4 linked regions of the Drosophila melanogaster genome follow. The protein of the gene in region 1 interacts with the protein of each later gene in a pairwise test. Each region holds a gene or a part of one and is shown on either strand. Other genes may lie near its edges.

What was found.
Region 2: the proteins of RhoGAP18B (region 1) and CG10086 interact in a two-hybrid assay, tested with the Drosophila melanogaster proteins (one large-scale study listed by BioGRID).
Region 3: the proteins of RhoGAP18B (region 1) and jbug interact in a two-hybrid assay, tested with the Drosophila melanogaster proteins (one large-scale study listed by BioGRID).
Region 4: the proteins of RhoGAP18B (region 1) and Dif interact in a two-hybrid assay, tested with the Drosophila melanogaster proteins (one large-scale study listed by BioGRID).

Annotation. Positions count from the first base shown.
Region 1 is NC_004354.4:19,155,200-19,159,917, reverse strand, and holds the start of RhoGAP18B (Rho GTPase activating protein at 18B), read left to right. Parts: upstream 1-1,716; 5' UTR 1,717-1,798; intron 1,799-4,718.
Region 2 is NT_033777.3:7,788,685-7,794,031, forward strand, and holds CG10086 (uncharacterized protein), read left to right. Parts: upstream 1-1,948; 5' UTR 1,949-2,042; coding exon 2,043-2,157; intron 2,158-2,986; coding exon 2,987-4,036; intron 4,037-4,194; coding exon 4,195-4,439; 3' UTR 4,440-4,799; downstream 4,800-5,347. Other genes in the region: CG18746 (uncharacterized protein), read right to left, coding at 30-624, 775-983, 1,047-1,196, 1,312-1,423.
Region 3 is NT_033778.4:22,734,027-22,738,910, reverse strand, and holds the start of jbug (jitterbug), read left to right. Parts: upstream 1-1,865; 5' UTR 1,866-2,069; coding exon 2,070-2,306; intron 2,307-4,714; coding exon 4,715-4,884.
Region 4 is NT_033779.5:17,425,146-17,429,744, reverse strand, and holds the start of Dif (Dorsal-related immunity factor), read left to right. Parts: upstream 1-1,545; 5' UTR 1,546-2,089; intron 2,090-4,599.

The sequences.
Region 1 (4,718 bases):
TTGTTGTTTTGTATCCGCATCTGTATTTGTATTTGTATTCGTATCTGGTGGATACATTTGATGCCGTCGGCAGCGAAGCCAACAACAACAATTGTGTTCATTGTGCTTAATTAATTTAGTTCAAAGATCAAGCGACCATATTGCTGAACATCGGCTGCAATGCGATTCTTCGCCGGCCTCTGCTCATTTTCATTTTTATTTTCATTTTCATTTTTATTTTTATTTTCATTCTCAGTCTCACTCTCATTCGCCTATTTTTTAAGTCTCTTCCCCGGAATTGTTGTTTTTTCCCCAAAGATGCATCCTCATCTTTTCTTTCTCTATTTGCTCCCGGTTCTGTTTTATATGGATTCCGATTTTTGTAAATATCGGTCGTGTACTATATGGATCTTCAAAACATGATTGCGAGCAGTATTATGAGGAACAGGATTATGAGGATTGGTTTCAAAATTCAATAAGAAATAAGAGAGCTTACGGTTCGTGCTGAAAGTGCAGTTCTCATTTTCATATCGGAATTGCTTGCAATAAAGTGTTGAGCAAAAGTATGTATGTACATATGTATATGCATATCGTAATCGGTTTACGCAACTGTTGTGCATAAATTGAACAGTGTTTAGCATTCATCATGGTTACTTACACAGCTCGATCCACCCGCCCAGCACCGCCCCCTCTGCGGTCCCAGAACCGACCCCAGCCCCCCCCTTTTTTTGCACCCCCTACTCCCAACTCAGCCGAACTGAAAAACAAACTCCCAACCCTCGACAGCACCCCCCCCCCCTTTACCACCCTCCTTCAGGGACCGCACTCGATATGCTTAATTAGGCAACGGGCGTTGAGTATAAAAAGCGTCTTTTGTCGCTGCCACGCCCCACCCTTACCCTCTCACCCCCTCATTAGCCCATGCCACCCCCAACCCTTACACACACACGCACATTCGTGAATGTGGTGGCGCACAGCCAGACAGAGCCACACATGTTGCCCATGTTCCATTACACACATGTGGTTCGGTTTCAGTTCAGTTTTAGGTTTGTTCTGCTCTGCGCTGTTCTGTTCTGTTCTGGGCTTTTGCCTCCCCATCACTGATCTCTGGCCCACACTGGTCAGCATGACATGGGTACGAAGGATAGTTTCAAGCTCGGTTGACATGAGTCATAGTTTCACCGATGATGAATCACAGCTCATAATGGTCCATAGTCATGGTCATAATAATGATCCATAGACTTTGCCTATAAAAGTAAATAACTGTAAGAAATGTATTAGACAAGGCAAGAATTTCTATTGAATCTTATATTAATTTAAAAAGTTTTATTCTAAAGAAACTTATTGATGATATAATTTTGTAAGGCTGGCATATATAGTTAGCATTTATAGTTTTTAAAAATACTGATATATCCTGTAATATATGTATTATATTTCATTTGAATATCTGAAATATTTGAAATTACCCGCTTATAATTCCCAACTTGCTTTTTCATCGGAAGCAACAAAATTTTGTTGCGGGCTTTGGGGGTTAGTGCCCACTTTTGCTGACTAGTGTGGAGTGCTCGAGTTCCCTGGGTGACCGGAGGTCGGCATCGCCATAGCCATAGCCACCGCCACCGACTCGTGGCGTCGACTGCGACTGCGACTGCGACTGCGCGGCGACTGCGACGTCAATCGCTTACGAGGCGGACCGCCACCCAAGAAAATTCTCGGCGGCATCTTGAGTTCAATTTCAGTTGATATTCTGTTAAATTCGCGAACGCGTCGCGCCTGCAGCTCCCGATTTGATGGAGAGCCCCACCTCAAGCCCAATTTCGTAATGCTCCCATTTAAAGCTCGGCTTATCAGTGCTGGCCAAAATCGGTGCTTTTTGTTTTGGTGCTCGGGTTTCGGTATTGAAGCCCACCAAGTGCCTCGATCGATCTACAATAGTTTTAATAATAAAACAGTGCATTTGGGGAAATTGGAGAGAAAGTGAGATAAGCGCTGCGAGATAACGGGACCAATCCCGTTTTATTTGTTCCTTCCTTTCGCCCATAATATGGGTGTGTGTGCTCATGTGTTTCTTGTGAATTACAGTATATTGCTTTTACAATGGCATTCATCGTCATTTATTCATTTGTCGCGCCATCTGAAAATGAACGGCGATGAATCATCGGCATAGGCAAATCAGCGGATTACCCACAATCCACACTGATTGCATTGCTGTCTCCTTGGGGGCTGCACAATTTGGACAGGTTTTATTGACGGGGTCAAGAAGGTCTCGATCGAATGCCCAAAAGTATGCAAGTTTATCACCAAGGCGCCCGAAAAACCAAAGTTTTGCGGTTTTGTTTTTTTTGTATTTGAGGAATCAAACTATAAACTGTGTATTTTGCCAGTGTTTGAAGTTAAACTTAGTTAATTGGGTTCAACAAAATATATATCATAATCATATTAAAAAATATAATATTCAATTGGTTGTGCTACAGCTATTTTTATAGCTATTTATAACGAAACGGATTTTCTGAATGAAAATTTTTAAAAAAGTATATGAATTCGGTATCAATATATTTTTTCTATGCTATTGCTGCATTTTGGTGATTCGTATCAGTACATAAAAACATTTTATTAATGAAATTTTAACACTTTAAAGTGAATCGCAAGCATTTCTTAAGTCATGAAGGATTTGAAATATATACTTTCAAAATTTCCAAAATGAACAACAAGCCCAGTGATGTCAGGCTTCTAAATAGTTTATTCACTTATTTATTAATAACTATGCTTCAGAACCTTCAGACCCTAGGGATTCAATTTAAGAATTGTTTATTTTGTAGAAAGCTAATTAGTTCAGAGAAATGCTCCTAATGAGACCACAACAATTATATTAGTGAAAACACAGTCAATCAGTTATGAAGAATTCCACAAGCCTTTTGTTTGCTATTAAAATTCAAATAGTTTGGAACAATTAAGTGTATGGCTCTTTGTTAAATTATTTCTCGGATTGTTAATATATCACGCAAGTAATTAATCAAGATTTTCTATTTAAATAAATTCGGTTTCTGTATAATTTGTGTGTTTTTTATCAGAGAAATGAATATCTTATAGAATGTTCTGTAAAATTATCTTTTAAAGGACAACCCAAACATGATTATAAAGAATTGAAAATTAATAATACAGGTTATTGTCCAAGCAAACAAGACAACCATTGACCATTGACCCTGATTCTAGACCAAAGTATGATTAACAACACCGTGAAAACGCTTTTACCTACCAACCAACCAACATTTGTGGTACCTAACGATCCAAATCTGTTGTATTTTGAAATATGGTGGTAGGCTACTCTCGACTGGATTTGAATCAGTTTTATTTAAATGACGCTGTAACAACAATTGGTGGTGTTGGAGAATGCGAAACATGTTTTAAGCACCTAAAACCCCTAACCGGTTTCCCCTTTCCGCCCCAAGCCGATTATGATTAATGGCGGCGATCCTAGATCAAAGAATTACGAATAATACGAAGCCCCCGAAGAAGATTTCAAGATCTACCATCGAGATAAACATGATTTCCCCACTTACGCCGATCGAAAGATTAATGCACGGACCCTCGTTTCTTGGCACCTTAACTCCATTAGGCTCACTCTCGCCTTCCGTTCGGGATAACTGTGCACTTGAAAAAAAAAGATAGAATATACATATATTAATATATGTAAAATGAAATTTTGCATATTTCCGTTTTGGTTTTTCAGTAAGAAGGAATTGTAGAATTCTTGTAATATTTTAAATTCCCAAAATCAGTGGCTACTATTTTTTGCCAGTGTGAACTGAGCACATTCCATATTCCACACACCATGTTCCACATTCCATCTACCTGGCGGCACCTGTGAGGCGTAGGTGAGGAAGTCGACGATCGTTACACAATTCTCGACTGGCCGCCAACCTGTTTCTGTTTCTCCGGGGTTTTCTCTGGGGTTTCTCGCCCCTCTCCGCTCTCTTCACCCAGTCATGGCCATCATTTTGAGTCCGAGGGATAAGGACGGGGGTTACGAGAGGACCGACATGGTTTGGTGGATCGGTTAGTGACTCATCTCCGTATATCAACGAAAAACAAAGCTCAAAAGCAGAAGCAGCACTGTGGAATTCTAGTCAGATGAAATGCATTGGGGTTTTTTTTACTTTAAACATTATTTGCATTTAAGCATCAAATGTTTTAGGGCAAACAAACAATTCATTTTAGAGCTCTAAACTGATTAGTGATAAGTGCTCTGGATCTTTTTGGGCGTGAAATATACAGAGATATTGGGTCTAGTTACACATATATTGAATACAGCAATGGGTTCCAATAATATTTTATCAAAATAGCTAATATATGTAAATATTAGAAGAAATGGTAAAGAAATTCACGATAACAGGGTCATATTATTAAAAGCTGTTTGCAATTAGATTCGAAAAATTCATCCTTTAAATTCCCAGATTTAAAAAAAGTCAAGCCAAAGAATTGTGTTTTGAAGGCAAAGCCGATGGTTTGGAGGAAAACTGAGTGCAGAGTGCAGCGACTTTGGCTGAGATAATGAATATCGCTGATTGCAGTCGGAAGCGGGAGGGAAAGAGACAGAAAGAAAGAAAATGAGGGTAGTGGCATCACTTAAAGAGTTCAAGCCCATTGACTTTTCTCAGTGATTACACTGCGAGAACTAAGGTCGTTTTTGGGGTGTTTCTCAAAAAATAATAGTGAGTAATCGAAGATTACAAGTTATT
Region 2 (5,347 bases), on another chromosome or scaffold:
AATTTCCTTAAAGCTCCTATTTTACTCACCAATTGAAGGATCCGCAGCCCAAGGATTGGGGCTTCCGAGTGCTTCTCCATTCTGTTCGCTGCCAATTAAAATCAAAGCCTTCGCATCTAGCTGCTGGGGTGGCAGAACTTCACCCCAAGTCCTTGGTTCTTTTTGGAGTTGCTTCGTTAGCGGGACACTTCCAATAGTTATGGGCATGTGAAGGGACTGGCCGCCATGACAACCTTTAACTCTGGCCTCCGCTTCCACCTGATAGCCGATCTGAATGATGCTGCATAGATTAAAGCAGGTTGGCGGAGTTGGCGGCACCTTAAGATCGAAGGTAAACTGCTGCCGGCATTTGGTCGACACACCTCCGCCTGTTTTCAGGACCATCTCAAAACGGTCCTTGTTGGTGTCCGCGGACGGGGGTTGACTGTAGTAAATCACCACCATAGTCAGTTTTACGGTTATGTCCTCCACGGCTACACCACTGTCATTGGAGACCATCACCTCCACCGGCACGATCTGTCCTGGCACAAAGCCACTCTGTGGAACAGAAAGTCGCATACTGAGTGGCGACGAGCGGCAGGGAAAACAGCAGAAAGTTCGCTGGGACTCCACTTGACTAGGTACCTAAAATTTATAAAATATAAAAATATAAAATTTTATACTTGACCATGGTACAACCAAAGACACTAGAATTAGACATTATTCTAATGTCTTTGGTACAACACATGGTACAGTGGACTATTCCATAGTGTGTGGAGAGACTAAGAAACATACCCTCAGCATTAGGCTTTCGGAGTTCAGGTCCATCACTTTGATCACAGTGAAGCATCGATTAAAGTTCAGATCGAACTTCCACGGACGCACGAACCTCACGTTCACCAGATAACGTATCCGACCTAGTGTCCCCTCGAAAGAAGAGGGACATGTGATGGGCAACTGACAGGCGAATCTATACGAGCTGGTGCCAGGCTCAATAAGCACCTCTGAAATGGAGCTTTGATTTCATTATCTCTAGATTTATGGTGATTTATCATCTTCGAACATACCTATGCTGGAACTAGACCCGTGCAGATAAGCCCTAGTGGCCAAGTAGTCCACATGTCCGTTGAATGATTCACCATTCGACTGATCATCCGGATCGTGTTCGGTATCCGCCCAGTGGGTTTCGGCATATCCCTTGATGTTAAGGATTACAGCTGAAGTAAAAATAAAAGCTATTTTAAGCCCCTGCAACACTTGCACTTCAAATCAATTAAGTCTTTTAGCAAGTAACGTTTGTTTTGAGTAGAGCAAAATGAATCAGCGCCTTACCTTTCACTGACTTTTCCTTCTCAGTTTTAATGACCACCTGTCCTGAAATCAACTGGCCTGCATAAAAAATTCCTTGGGAATTATTGCAGAACTCAATCTCACAGATTACCATTGTGCGGAATAATTTGTATGATAATCCGGGAGCTGTTTAACTTTTGCCCTGTCTGTGTCGTGGCTCCCAACAAACTGAAGTCACCCGCTGCGGCTATTTTTATTTTATTTTTTGTGCAGCATTTATTTGGCCAACATTTTTATTTTATCTTATCAATGCGATAGGTATCTCAGTATTTAAACACAAATTTTTACCATTGCTATCGGAGTATTTACATATGTAAGTGACAGCAATTTGAGAAGTACGAAATTGGCAGGCAGAACTGATCGATGAGGGCCAGTTTTCCCAAGGTTGAGATAGCGATGATAGGGCGTTGTACCAATAAAGAAATAGAGGATAATGGAGTCCCTGATTTATCGCATAAGTTGTTAATAAATTAATGAAGGAATTTCTCTCAACTGGCCGCGTTGCCAACTATCCAGATAGACAAATATTGCAGTGGGTTTTGTACTGAGTTGAGCCGATAAGATAATGCCAGCCGACGGTAAAACTGAAAATGAGAGTCCAGGCCATGTTAGCAATACAGTTGGCCCAGTTCGTGTTTAGCAGCGGGCGCGTTAGGATCGCTCGCAAATCTAAAAGCTCTGGAGAGGCATAAGCCCATTACCTATTCGCCAACATGTCGAAGAACTGCATGATAACGTTCGACCAGAATGAGCACGGCACCTACTTCACCGGCCAGGTGATAACCGGCAAGGTGATTGTCAATCTGAACAAGACCAAGAAACTGCGAGGTAAGTAAGACCAACTAGGATACCCCAACAGTACGGAAACTAGTGGGGGCTTTCGCTTATCGAGCGCGGCGTATCTTATCGCTTCGGATAATGTCAGGTTTGGCAAAAGCAAAAGATTCAACAAACCATTGAAATGGGTAATTAAGTGATAACTATGCGGACACTCCAAATGTGCGATAATTGATGATTCCTGGAGCCGAAGGGGAGCGATAACAACCTTACTTATAGTTGGGGATCTACCCAACGAATTATATTTTCTTTCGAGGAAATACCAGGGAACTTACTCACGGTTTTCGTCTGGGCTTTGCAGTGATATGGACAACAAGTTTTGTTGATTCTTCGAAATATATGTTTTCTACTTCTATTTAAAAAAAAAAAGGTTAATTTTTGTCTTTAAGTTATTTCATTTCCATTTTGCATCTGCGTGCTTGCAGCCCAAATCAAATATTTAAACAATTTGAATAATTTTATAGTGTGCGTCAACAGTTTCCGTATTAGTTAAATTTAAAATGCCCCTAAGACGCTTTTATTAACTGTTTTTGGAAATGTCTTTCAGTGCTTCTCGCTTTTGTTTTATCTTATCCTAATATTACCCCTACCTTATGAGGTAACCCAAAGAGATAAACAAAGTGAGCTAGTTTTATTAGGAAGCCCGTTGTATTTTTTTTTAACTTTTTTATTAAGGTACTGATTTCTTTGTCTATATTATAGCCTATATTATAGTATTATTATGGAAATATTATAAATGTTAGTCAGCACATCTCATATTTCTCTGTTAAGAAGTCATGTTATTGAAGATCTACATATTCTAATATTTCTTGTCTTTTAGGAATAAAACTGCAAATAAGTGGCTATGCGCAAGCCCAGTGGCGCATCCGCAGACATGGTAAGGCGGTGGCAATCCAAAACCCCAAGAAGCGATCAAAGCACCAGTACAGCGGGCGGGAGGACTATATAGCCTCCACCACTTACCTCATGGGTTCCGAGCAGGGCAGCAACTTTAACATGGACGCCGGCACGTACACCTACACTTTTGCTTGCCCCATTCCCAGCCACTGCCCCTCGTCCTTCGAGGGTGCCTATGGACACATCCGGTATCTGGCCAAGGTCACCTTTTTGAAGCCAGGAGCTTCCAATCGCACCCACAACGTGGGCTTCACTGTGCTAAAGCTGCTGGACTTGAACCAGGAGACCAAGATGCTCCGGGAACCGGCGAGCAATGAAGCCGTGGAACACTTTTGCCTGATGCACACGAAGCCCGTGCAGTTGAAGGTCACTCTCCAGCAGCAGGGCTATGTTCCGGGTCAGTTCATGTTGATCCACGCCCATGTGCGTAATGACTCCAGCTCCGATTGTCGGAAGCTACTGATCATGCTGCATTTGAGAGCCACATACACGGCGGATACGCCCTCGCTACGCACCACATCCGAGAAGATAATGCTGGTGAAGCGCGAGTGCGGTCCGGTGGCTCATAATGCGCAGAGGACTTACACGGAAACCCTGAGGATTCCGGCAACGGCGCCCACCTGCGAGCACCTAAGCAAGGTGGTGCGCGTATCTTACGAAGTGCGTGTGGTGGCTGTTATGAACTGGCTTATGGCTAATCCCCGGCTCATAATCCCTGTGACTATTGGCAACGTGCCCCTGGCAACTGCGGTGTCCGGACCGGACTTCCTGCCAACTAACGCCTTCCCATCTGGAAGTTCGCTGCCTGCCGACTTGCCATGCACCTCTACAAGGGCCATGGAACTGGCTCAGATGGCCGCAAGCGGGGTCAGCAACTCCGGCTACGAGATGGCCGAGGATCTAGAGGACTTCGAGCTTCCAGAGGATGGAGATGATGAGTTGGAGGCCGCCGACGATTTCGTACCAGATTTACGTGAGTACAAGAGAACAAAATATTTCTAGCTAGGACTTTGTTATGAAAGATGTTAAATAGAGCCCTTATGTATATGTTCTTTATATTTTTGTTATGCTATTGTGAGGCGATAGTTTCATTCTTCATTCTCCATATTTTTTATGTCATTTTTTCTATAGCTCCTCCTACCTACGAGCAGGCCATGTTCATGACCACTGATATTGCGGACACGGACGCGAACACGGTCAGCGAGGCCTCCCGATTTACTCCACGCTATCCGGTCTTCGATGTGGACACCTTCCAGAGCCCGCCGCCAAATCCTCCCCAGAAGAAAAGGCGCCGCCGACGCAGACGTCCTGCCGATCCTGGACAGTCGAAGCAACAACCGGAGAAACAACCAGTGGAGTCACCCGTGCAGATCTGAGGGCAGTTATCGCGAAAAATCACGACTATATCTTATCTCGGCAGTATTTATTTCTTTTACGGTTCGCCAGTGTACTTACCAAAATGTTTACTATATATGTATGTATATCGGAATGATAAACAACCCAGAATATAAAAGTGTCTACTGGGTGATACGCGATAAATTGCGACTATAGCCTAGACAACCAAGTCCATGAAGGCATTGAACTACAAATTTATTTATTCATTTATAAATTAAATTGAGTGGAGGACTTCTAGCTCAGTCCGTGAGTTTAAATACTTATGAGAGCTAGAAATTTTGATTTACGCATACATGCTCCCAATTTCTAATTCTATTGCTTGACAATTTCCATTAAAATGCAAAAAAAAAATGTATAACTTCCTCTCTATCTGAGTAACAGGTATCTGATCCGGCCCATTCCGAATTATATAGAATATATAGCATAGAAACGGACATGCATTTATCGCCTTAATACTGATCAAACATTCTCTCGACTGTCAAGATACCCTTTGGTTGCTACGCACCACGATAGAAAATCAGGAACTTCTTGGACTTTTGCGCGTTTGTAAATGAGTACAAATCATCATTAACAAACGTAATCAACTATCACAGACTTAAGTCCATAGACGACTTAACTTGATGTGATTCTTTTTCACCGTATTTCGTCCAAAAAATAATAACAACGCGATAATAACAACTCAACTAAACTAGAGCTTTCACAGAACCCACCTGATTTTTGTTTACAAATTTTTAGATTTGTTGTTGCCTTATTCTTCGTAACAAAACAAACAAAAAAGAGAACCGTTTATCAAAATCCGATGCCTCTCAATTTTGTTTTTTTTTTTTAGTGAGCGGAAGCCCCAAAAGCTCGCTCACCAGAAAAGCTTTGGCTCTCGCCAAGTGATGAT
Region 3 (4,884 bases), on another chromosome or scaffold:
CCCACAGCTCGGATCCAAACAGAGTTGTAGCTAGGCAGCCACTACAGAATCATTGAGAAATCAATGGCCATTTGGTACACGGTTTTGGCACAAATCAAACTTGAAATCGCACCCACGTCTAGAACGAGGCGTTGAACCAACCAACCATGTGGGTGGCTGTCCCGATGACGACGACTACGAGATTTGGCTGGCCGTGTGGGTTTGCAAGGCAAAAAGCGAAATAAGTATATACGAATGTATATTCGGACAGCAAACAAATCGAAAAGTGTAAAAAATGCCAGACACCTACGTGCACATCGCATTCTGTGATATAGATACACCGATTTGTAGCCTACGATACGTACACTTTTGCCCATTCAAAGTCGAAAATTTCGGCCATTACGTAATGCCCTAAACTAGGTGTGCTAGCTGGCCCTCTTCTGCCATTTAAAGTCACGACAACACTTTCGATATTTACCTGCTGACCAACTGAGTAAACTAAGAAGCGGATTGGTCATTCCCATTACCATTACCATTCCCATTCCCCTTGGCCAATAGCACCACCAATACCATTATCATGACCATTCCCATGACCTTGCCGCCAGCTGAATCTATAGAACTCGCCGAGTAGTGGGGCTCATTCCACTCCGCTGGCGAGTGCAACTAATTAGGTTCATTGCCAATGTCAAGTGTCAGTAAATGACATCAGCCACGGGATCACTCATAAGTCCGAGGAGCAATTCATTAATTTCCACTTTTTGCTGTCCCCGCTGGTTAATTTATTTCATCCAAGCCACGCAGTTTTGTCACTGAGACAAAAACACAACAATGACATCTCTGCTTAAAATAAATTAAGGTACAAATTAGTTTGCGGCAAAGCGGTGTATTTAAGTAGTTAATTGATGTTTTAAGAGGAATTCCATTGAAGAGTTACTAGATTAGCTACGTCAACTGTCTTTTGTAATATTAGTCAGCATGATTTTCTCGCACTGTATTCTCCTGTCGGGGCGTTAAAAAAGTGCTCAAGCCACAACTCATCGCTGTGCCGAGCAAGTGATGAGTGATGTCATCCCAGAGTTGTTTACCTCTCCGAAAAGTGTTTGTCAATAAATAGTATTCGTATTCGTATTCAAAATCTGCATACCAGCCTCGCTCAGAACTGGACGTGCTATGATATATGCGATCTGTGGCAATTGACTTGTTTAGAAACGCAACCGGATTTCCTATAATTAAGTTGGTTAGACGGTCATTTGACGCCTCGTTGTCTTCGCAACGCCGTGTGGAAAAATGCCAAAAAGGCCATTCAGACGGCCAACTTTCGGTTTGCACAAATTGTTTGGGTAAAAGTGCGACAAGTGAAAACGGGCGAACAATTGACAATTGATCGTGGCAGATTTCATTGCTGTGATTACGTCCATTATCTTCTGGGGTGGCTCCCACGTTTACACACATGTTGGCCTTCTAACGTTTGTGAAAGACTTGCCCAAACAGCCACATTCACGACAACCACTGGCATCCACAGTACTGCCCACCAGATCTGCTCGCTTTTTGCCTGCTGTTGCCGCGGCGAAATTCCAAACTAAGTGATTTCTGTTATTTTACAGACTCTTTTTTTTTGTATTATTTTCGCCTTTTTGTTATTTTTGTATTCAATTTTCCTTTTCGCTCGCTTCGTTTTGGCTTGGAAGCGACGAAACCAGTTTTGCTTTATAGCCAGATTCAGAGATATTCGCACACACACATTCGCTGGCGAAACCCCCCGCATTTTTTTTTATAAATTCTCCTGCTGCTCTCTGGAGCTTTGAGCTTTGGCCATGACGTCATCGTTTGTTTTGGCCAGGCCAAGAGAGCAGAGCCGCCCAGATCGACCAGCTAAGCGCAGTTCCAGTTCGCTTCGGGCCGCGAGCGCGTGCAAACGAAACTAAAACTGATACTGAAACCGAAACTGAATAGCATAGCTACAACTTACAGCGATCAGAAGTATCTCATCGCGATCTATCCATTTCTCCCGATCAGTGTTTCGAACGCGAGTTACATCTGTACATACATATGTGCGAGTCGCAGGTGAAGTGCAGTGACGTGCAGTGAAGATGGACGTCAAGGACATAAAAGGCGCCAAGGTGACGCATGCGGGGCTGCTCAAGCACAACTCCGATGGAACCACCGAAACGCAGAAGATCACCCATGCCGGTCTGGTGGCCCGGAGTCCCGAGGGCACCGCCGCCAAGGGTATGAACATACGGGGCAACGAGGACCTCTGGGTAGAGATCCAGGCGAACACATTCCGCAACTGGGTCAACGAGCATTTGCGTGAAACGGGAATGCAGGTGAGTTAAGCCATAGATATATTGTAGATATATTTACATTCCGATTATGCAACACTTTCTAACCGACTGAGTAATGCCTGCCGCCGACTGAATATCTGATCGATCAAGCGCAAAAAACAATTACCCAATCAATGGGCTAGCTCCGTTGAATGTGGAATTCGTAGAACTATTGATGAAGCAGGGCCTGAGAATCGATGAGTGAAATACAAAACGTTTAGATCTGGAATTTTAGCCAGGAAATGATTTGCGAAGGCAGTTGCACATAGAAAAAGTGGCACTGCTTAATGAAGTGTAATTAGGGATAGAAAACAAAATATGAATATGTGAAATAATGAACACTTTTTAATTGAACTCTATACAAATAAAATTTTCGATTATTATAAATCGCAATTAAGAAGCACTTTAAAAGCAAGGTTTTTGAAGTTCATATACTGATCCCATTTAAGCTAAATATAATCGCATAACGAGCGCATTGACTGGTGACAGAACACGTAAAAGTATAAATCGCCATCATAAACTGGGGCTTCGAGCTCTTCCGCGAGTTTCCCTAAAAGGCCGGGCTCATAAAACTCGGCTCAATCGCCCACGCAGATCTTGAACTCCAATGGCAGCAACGACAATTACATTAACAATGATGCCAAGAGTACTCACACGGACTTATGTGTACTGCCAACAATGCATTTCATTTGTCCAGGGACTTTTGAACTGTCACTCGCTTCGACGGATTTTCTCACACGCACCGCACTGAAACGACCTGAACCGACCATATTTGGCCGGTTGAATGCCAAGGCCAACGCATCGAGTTCCCATTAGCAGTTACAATACACAAAACAAGCTAAAGCTTTTGTGCGCGATCTTGCCCGGTTTCGAGTATAAAATTCGGGGTTTTATTTTTTTTTTTTTACTTTTTCGGTTGGGCCAAAAACGTACATACATACGTGTATGTGTACATATGTGATGAGCAAGGCTGAAGACCCCTTAGTAAACAGCGCTAATTGTGACCTGGCTGGCGTCTATTTGGGTCACCAAACCAAAACGAGTCATCCAAGTTTGCGTTTTTTACGCTGTTTACAATTCTAGTTCATGCGTATGCGACAAATAATATTGCAATCCACTTTGTATGACAAATGCATGTGCAAACAAAAGGGAAATGCTTTGATGGGAGCAGATACACGGAGAGAAATATTCAAAGTGACTGCATTGTATGACCTTAACGTTTTAATGCAGTGCAACAACAGTTGCGGCAGGTAGAATTAAATTATCTCAAAATGATTGCCACCATGGAACTGTCGTAATAGAATGACTAGACATTTTCTGACATATAGCAAAAATTTATATGCAAATAAAAGTACATATATATTTTGTTAGGTGAAAACGCAACTCCCAACGAAACTCGAGTTCATATCGTAAAATCAGAGGAATCTTAAAAATTTAAGGGCGGAATAACAGCAGCGACAAATAACAACCTGCGGCAGCTTGTTAGAGAGCCATGGAGCAACTACATATGTGCGATGTGAGATTTTTATGGCATCCAATGAATATTTTCCTAGGCACAAACAAACAGCAACAGACACGCGATTGTCTCCGTACCCAGTTCTCCAGTTTTTTGTCGTATTTTATTTGTTGAGTTGAGTTGAGTGGAGTGGAGTGGAGTTCCCCCCAGTCGAATCGAATGCCGACAGCAGCCAGATAAAAAGCTTTATGTCAAATGCTTAAAATCGCGCACAATTGGTTGCACCCGGGCGGAGAAAGCCGCTCAGTTCGGAGCAGCGAACCTGTTGGGTTCCCAAGCCCATTCTTGAGCTCCATGTGCCATGTTCCGAGATCTGAGCTCCATGCTCCAAGTTCCGAGCAAGCGGTTTACCTTGCAAAGTGGGCCACCAGTTTGCGGAAGGGGCGTTGATTGCTCATTAGGAAGGCTGCCAGTCAAGCGACCTTCTTGCATTTGCGCAGACATGGTAGGCGTTTCGCACATTTGCTAATCTCCATTGGGAACTATGTACATATGTACTACAGCAAGTCTAGTAATCTCAACTAATGCATAGCTATAAAGAAAATGCTGCTAGAGTCATTAAATAAAGATAAAAAATCTCTTCTTTCGAACATTTTTTTGTTTTGGGTTAGCATGCTTTTTAAAATTAAATCTATATAGAATGGAAAAGTAAAAACTACCCACTTAATAAAAGTACATTTTGCAAATCCATTAGACCGTAAAAAGCTAATATCATATTAAATGCAATTATAATAATAAACCTATTATGGAATGCACTCCCATCTCTTACTTGCCACATTACTTGCGTTGCTAAACGGAATGTATTCCAGCAGTAATCTAATTATTTGCCACAAACTTTCCCATTACTATTTCTAATGATACGGAGAAGTTAATGCAAATTCCCATTGTCTCTCAGGTTCATGACTGGGCCACCGATTTCTGCGATGGCACTTGTCTGTGCGCCCTTGTGGAGAATCTGCAGACGCGTCCACTGAAACCCTCGTGGAATCGCCGACCCGCCAACCAGCATCATTATTTGGAGAACGCCACCACGGCGCTGAAGTCCATCGAGGCGGATCACATCAA
Region 4 (4,599 bases), on another chromosome or scaffold:
GATATGTTTACTGAAAGTGGCTACTACGTCATGGGGCATTTGTCATACATGTATGGCTAAAAGCACAATCGCAACTAAAATCCTTCTACAGTGATCCCTAGCCATAAAGAGCAAGAAATTTTAAAATAATAGAATAAAAGTGTGGATTACAATTGTAAATTTGATAATAACATGTTCAAAAAGTTATACAAATTGTCGTACTATATTTTCATCTATATCTAAATATTCATATTTGCTCAATAAATTGCTAAATAAATAAATATCTGTTTTCCTAACTTAAAATTTCTCAAACCCCAGAGCTGAAATAGTTTAGTTTATTTTTGCACGTCCTGAGGTATTCTTGGCTTTGTTGCAATCCTATATAGATGTAAATTGCGGCCGGGAAATTTGCTCCCAAAATGCATTTTGTCCGCAGACGAGCCCACGCTACATGAAAACTGTGTTTTTAGTTCGAAATTTTCGTGGGCTAGCAGAAATAAATTATACTATTTTCATTCATGCACAACAATAATGAAATATTTCCACCCGATTGGCAATGTTAACTGCAAATATTTTTCCCCTACGTGTTTGGTCTGCACTTGTGTTTATTTCAATGACTAAAATCTGTCTATGGAACAGAAGCCAAAAATTGAGTTAATAACTCAGTTCGACCTTAGACGTTGGCGAATCTTTTTTCGGTCTCATTTGGGAATTTTGTTGGCGTGAATTAGCAACGTTGTATGGATTTTATAATTTACATTTGCCGAGGGTCGAACTCGTTTCAGGTCTGTCAATTCCTGGGAAAATCAATAAAAACATTCAGCTGTCATACCTATATTAGATAAATAGATCTATTGTTATGCATCTGGCTAATAGTTGTCGATTTTTTTCGGCTTCTCATTCCAGAATGGCGAATGATTCACATAAAGAAAAACTTTTCCTCCTATCTGATCTTATAATAAACCTTTGATCTTGATTTGTCCAGAAACCTGTGCACTATTTTAAACGAATTTTTAATGAGAAAAGAGTTCATGTGAAATAACATCTTAGGTATTTTGAATTTTTATGATATTTCCAAACCATTCATAACAATAAATTTTCATTCCCAGCAAAAAGTACACATTTTTTTGTAAGGGAATCAATGTTTACTTATAGCCGAAAATCGAAATTGGAACACCTGCAGAGCGTTATAAAAATCTCAACACTTTTCCAAATCCACTTAAAAATCTATAACCATTTTTTCTGCTCGATGGCGTCATAGGAACGCACTTGAACACAAATACATTAGAGAGAACGAAACATTGAGTACGCACAACGGAAATGAAAATAAATAAAGGAAAAGTGAAGCAGTTTCGAAAATAAAAACAGATATTGGCACCCTCCGTCAGTTGCGATCAGCAACCATCATATCAGCAGCGGTAACTTTTTATCACGTATACGTATCACGTATACGTATCAAGTATACGAACCGAATGCATGCGATCGCAGAGAGCGAACAGCTGAGAATGGAGCCTGAGCTATCGAAGCCATTCCGAAGCTCTCTTGCAGCCGAGTGTGAAGCGAACCGCTCAGTTTCAATCTGAACTTGGCCGCCGACGGACGTGAAGCGCCGACTTGTTCACACATAGATATCCATACATATATATATACATATAGATGTACATATAACGCATATTGTGCAAGTCGCACGCGACTATATAGCTGCCAGTGTATTGGTTAATTATACGAAGCACGACAACTACAACGTAAACTACAGATGTGTGTATAAATCAATGTCCGCTCTAAACAGGCGGCTGCAGTGTCAATAGCAAAAATTAAACAAAACTCAAAAGTAAAATACATGAGCGGAGCAACAACGTCGCTTGTGGGAGCAACTTTTGTTTTTGTTTTCAATTTCTTCATAATTTTTTTGGCGCGCCTTTTGTGAGTCGCGCGCGATAAGTCCGACACATAAACCGAAAACCAGTCAATCATAAAAGACAAATTTAATCAATTACACGTGTCAACACAACAAAGAGCTAATTCGATTTCTGTCTGACCCAGTGCATTCGGATCGAGAATCCAAATTTAATCAAGCATTTAAAGCAGCCTACCTACTACACCATAAAAGGTTAGCTATAATAAATTTTCTGAAACTATAGTCAGCTAGCTAGCTTAAGGCGTAGTTTGTAAAGTCCCCGGTCCAGAAGGCGGCTTTAGAAACTTAGGTACAGACAGCTTCCCGTGTCAGGTTCGATTGCAATGGCACTGCAAAAAACTACGTGCCAGCAACTCGGCGGAATTCATAAATTTTAATCCCAGATACATAAATAAGTACACAATTTTCCGATGCGGGCAATTACTTATCTAATGCCACGTGTAATGAAATTTGTATTTATTAATAGTGAAGTGAAAAACGGGAATACGGCCGGGTTCACTAGACTGCGTAATCGCAAAAAAAAACGACAAAAAATTTTAATTTTTAGTGTATTATTTTTATTTTGTTTTTTTTGTCCATGCGGGAAATATTTTAAATATTTTTGTGACTTCTTTAATCTACTTCCTGTTTGATTTGAACCTAAACACCCGAAAGATTATAGGCATAGCTATATCAATACATTAAATATAGACTTTGTGCAATACTTCGTAAATATTTATTAAAATATGGTATGTTTTTGCTTATCAGCAAATATATATTTCTGCTAGTGTAACTGCAGTTTTGCAACCCAACAGGCGTATAATATATGCAAATGAAAACAAGAAAGGCGGTTGACTGCGATTTATTAAAAGAGAATAACACTCAGTACGACATTTACTAGTAGTCCCAGTGTTTCTTTCTTGTTTTATTGGTCGACTACGAAAAATCATTAACATACTGGTTCAGATTTGTACATTTGCACATAACATATGCCGGAACTGCACCCTAGAGTAGACATTTCCTCCCAAGAGCAATAATGTATGCAATTATAAACATTATAACTCTTATCTCAAAATTATAGTGCCAAAGCTGTTTGTGACGTTTTCACATTTCAAGCTGTTGTATTGGAAATAATTTAGGCGTTGATATAAAAAATTGGAAGAATATAGCTACTCAGTTAGTCTTTAAATAACTTTCCAAATGTGAAAGAAAATCTGCTCAAGAGGAGCCAAAAAGAAGAGGAATTCAATGGTCAAAAAAAAAAAAATCGAAGCAAATGCAAATATTTATATTAACAAAATGTAAATATTTTTACAACTGAAATCGGCACGGCAAAAGTTTATAAAAATTTGCGGTGGCATCTGGAAGATTTCGTTTATTTCATTTGTAATCAAAGGAATATACAACCTGAACCGTGGAACTGAAACTGCAATCGAAAGACACGAAATGGCATAAAGTCTTTAAGACTTTTGCCTTATCCGCACGCAAAACATTCGGCCATTTGGCCGTTTCGGAATCCATAAAAATAGAATGAAATGGAACAGTCATGGTCAAAACTTACTCAAATATCGATTTATCTGCTCCCAGCCAGCAGCTATCTAACTTGTATTGGGCGATGAACCGATGATGCCAACGGCAGCGGAATTGTTTTCGGTAATTGTAGAAAATAAAACACAAACAAAGTCCGCACTTTTCACACCTTTTGGTCCATGTGTGTGCGATTGCTTACATACAGTATAAAGTCGCAGTCTAGCTATAACTTTGCCAATTGTATTAAGCAGACTTGTTTCCGAATTGAAAGTTATTGTAAATTAAATGCCAGCGGGAGAAGGAAGGTCACAGCCTGTACACACATTTGTGTGTAGGGTGCAAGTCTAATTGGTAAACAATTGAGAAACGGTCAAAACGATGAACTCTGGATAGAGCTGGTTAAATATATGTTGCTAAGAATTATCAGAAACCTTTGAATTACTTATTCTTTAAATTAAAATTTAAATTAAAATTTAAAGAATACACAATGAGAAGCTTCATGTAAGCTATAGTATTTTCACCCACCAGTAATCGATTCAAAACTATTTTTACTGTAAAATAATATAACAAACTTATACTAATTATGTTTGTTTTCAAGAGTCAATTCAGCTTGATCAGTTTATTGAATACTTGTACACTTTTTCGGAAAACCCAAGAGAGCAAATGCAATTGCTTTGAACTTATTTCAATTAACTGATAAGACTTGAACTTTAATCAGCAAGAAGAAAATCCCAGCGGGGCTTTATATTCTAGTCTCCCTGATAACCCGGCGTGAGATTGAGTACTATACCTTATATATATTTCTTTTCATTTTCCGCATGAACAAAAACCAACTAAACTTTAAAATGATCTGTCATTCACATTTACATCGCCAACCAAAGCCCAAGTTCTACAAACAATTCACGCCACCACACAATTTTACAAACAATGCGGGGAAAAATATAGCTGAATCCCATTACGCATACGCCATGTTGTACCGAATCTGAATTGATTGAATCGTGAAAAGTTTTATAGCAAAATAATTAAATGCTGCGGTTTCCTCCAATTTTCGGCCATCGCGTGTCGGTCGTTTTTCTTGGCTGAAAGCGAATGTACGTACGAACGATTTGTCTTGGCCATTAGAATGGAAATGGCTCCAACGCTTGGGTAAATGAGGTCTGGTGCGATGTGGTCTGGCTCGGCATTCTGGGAAT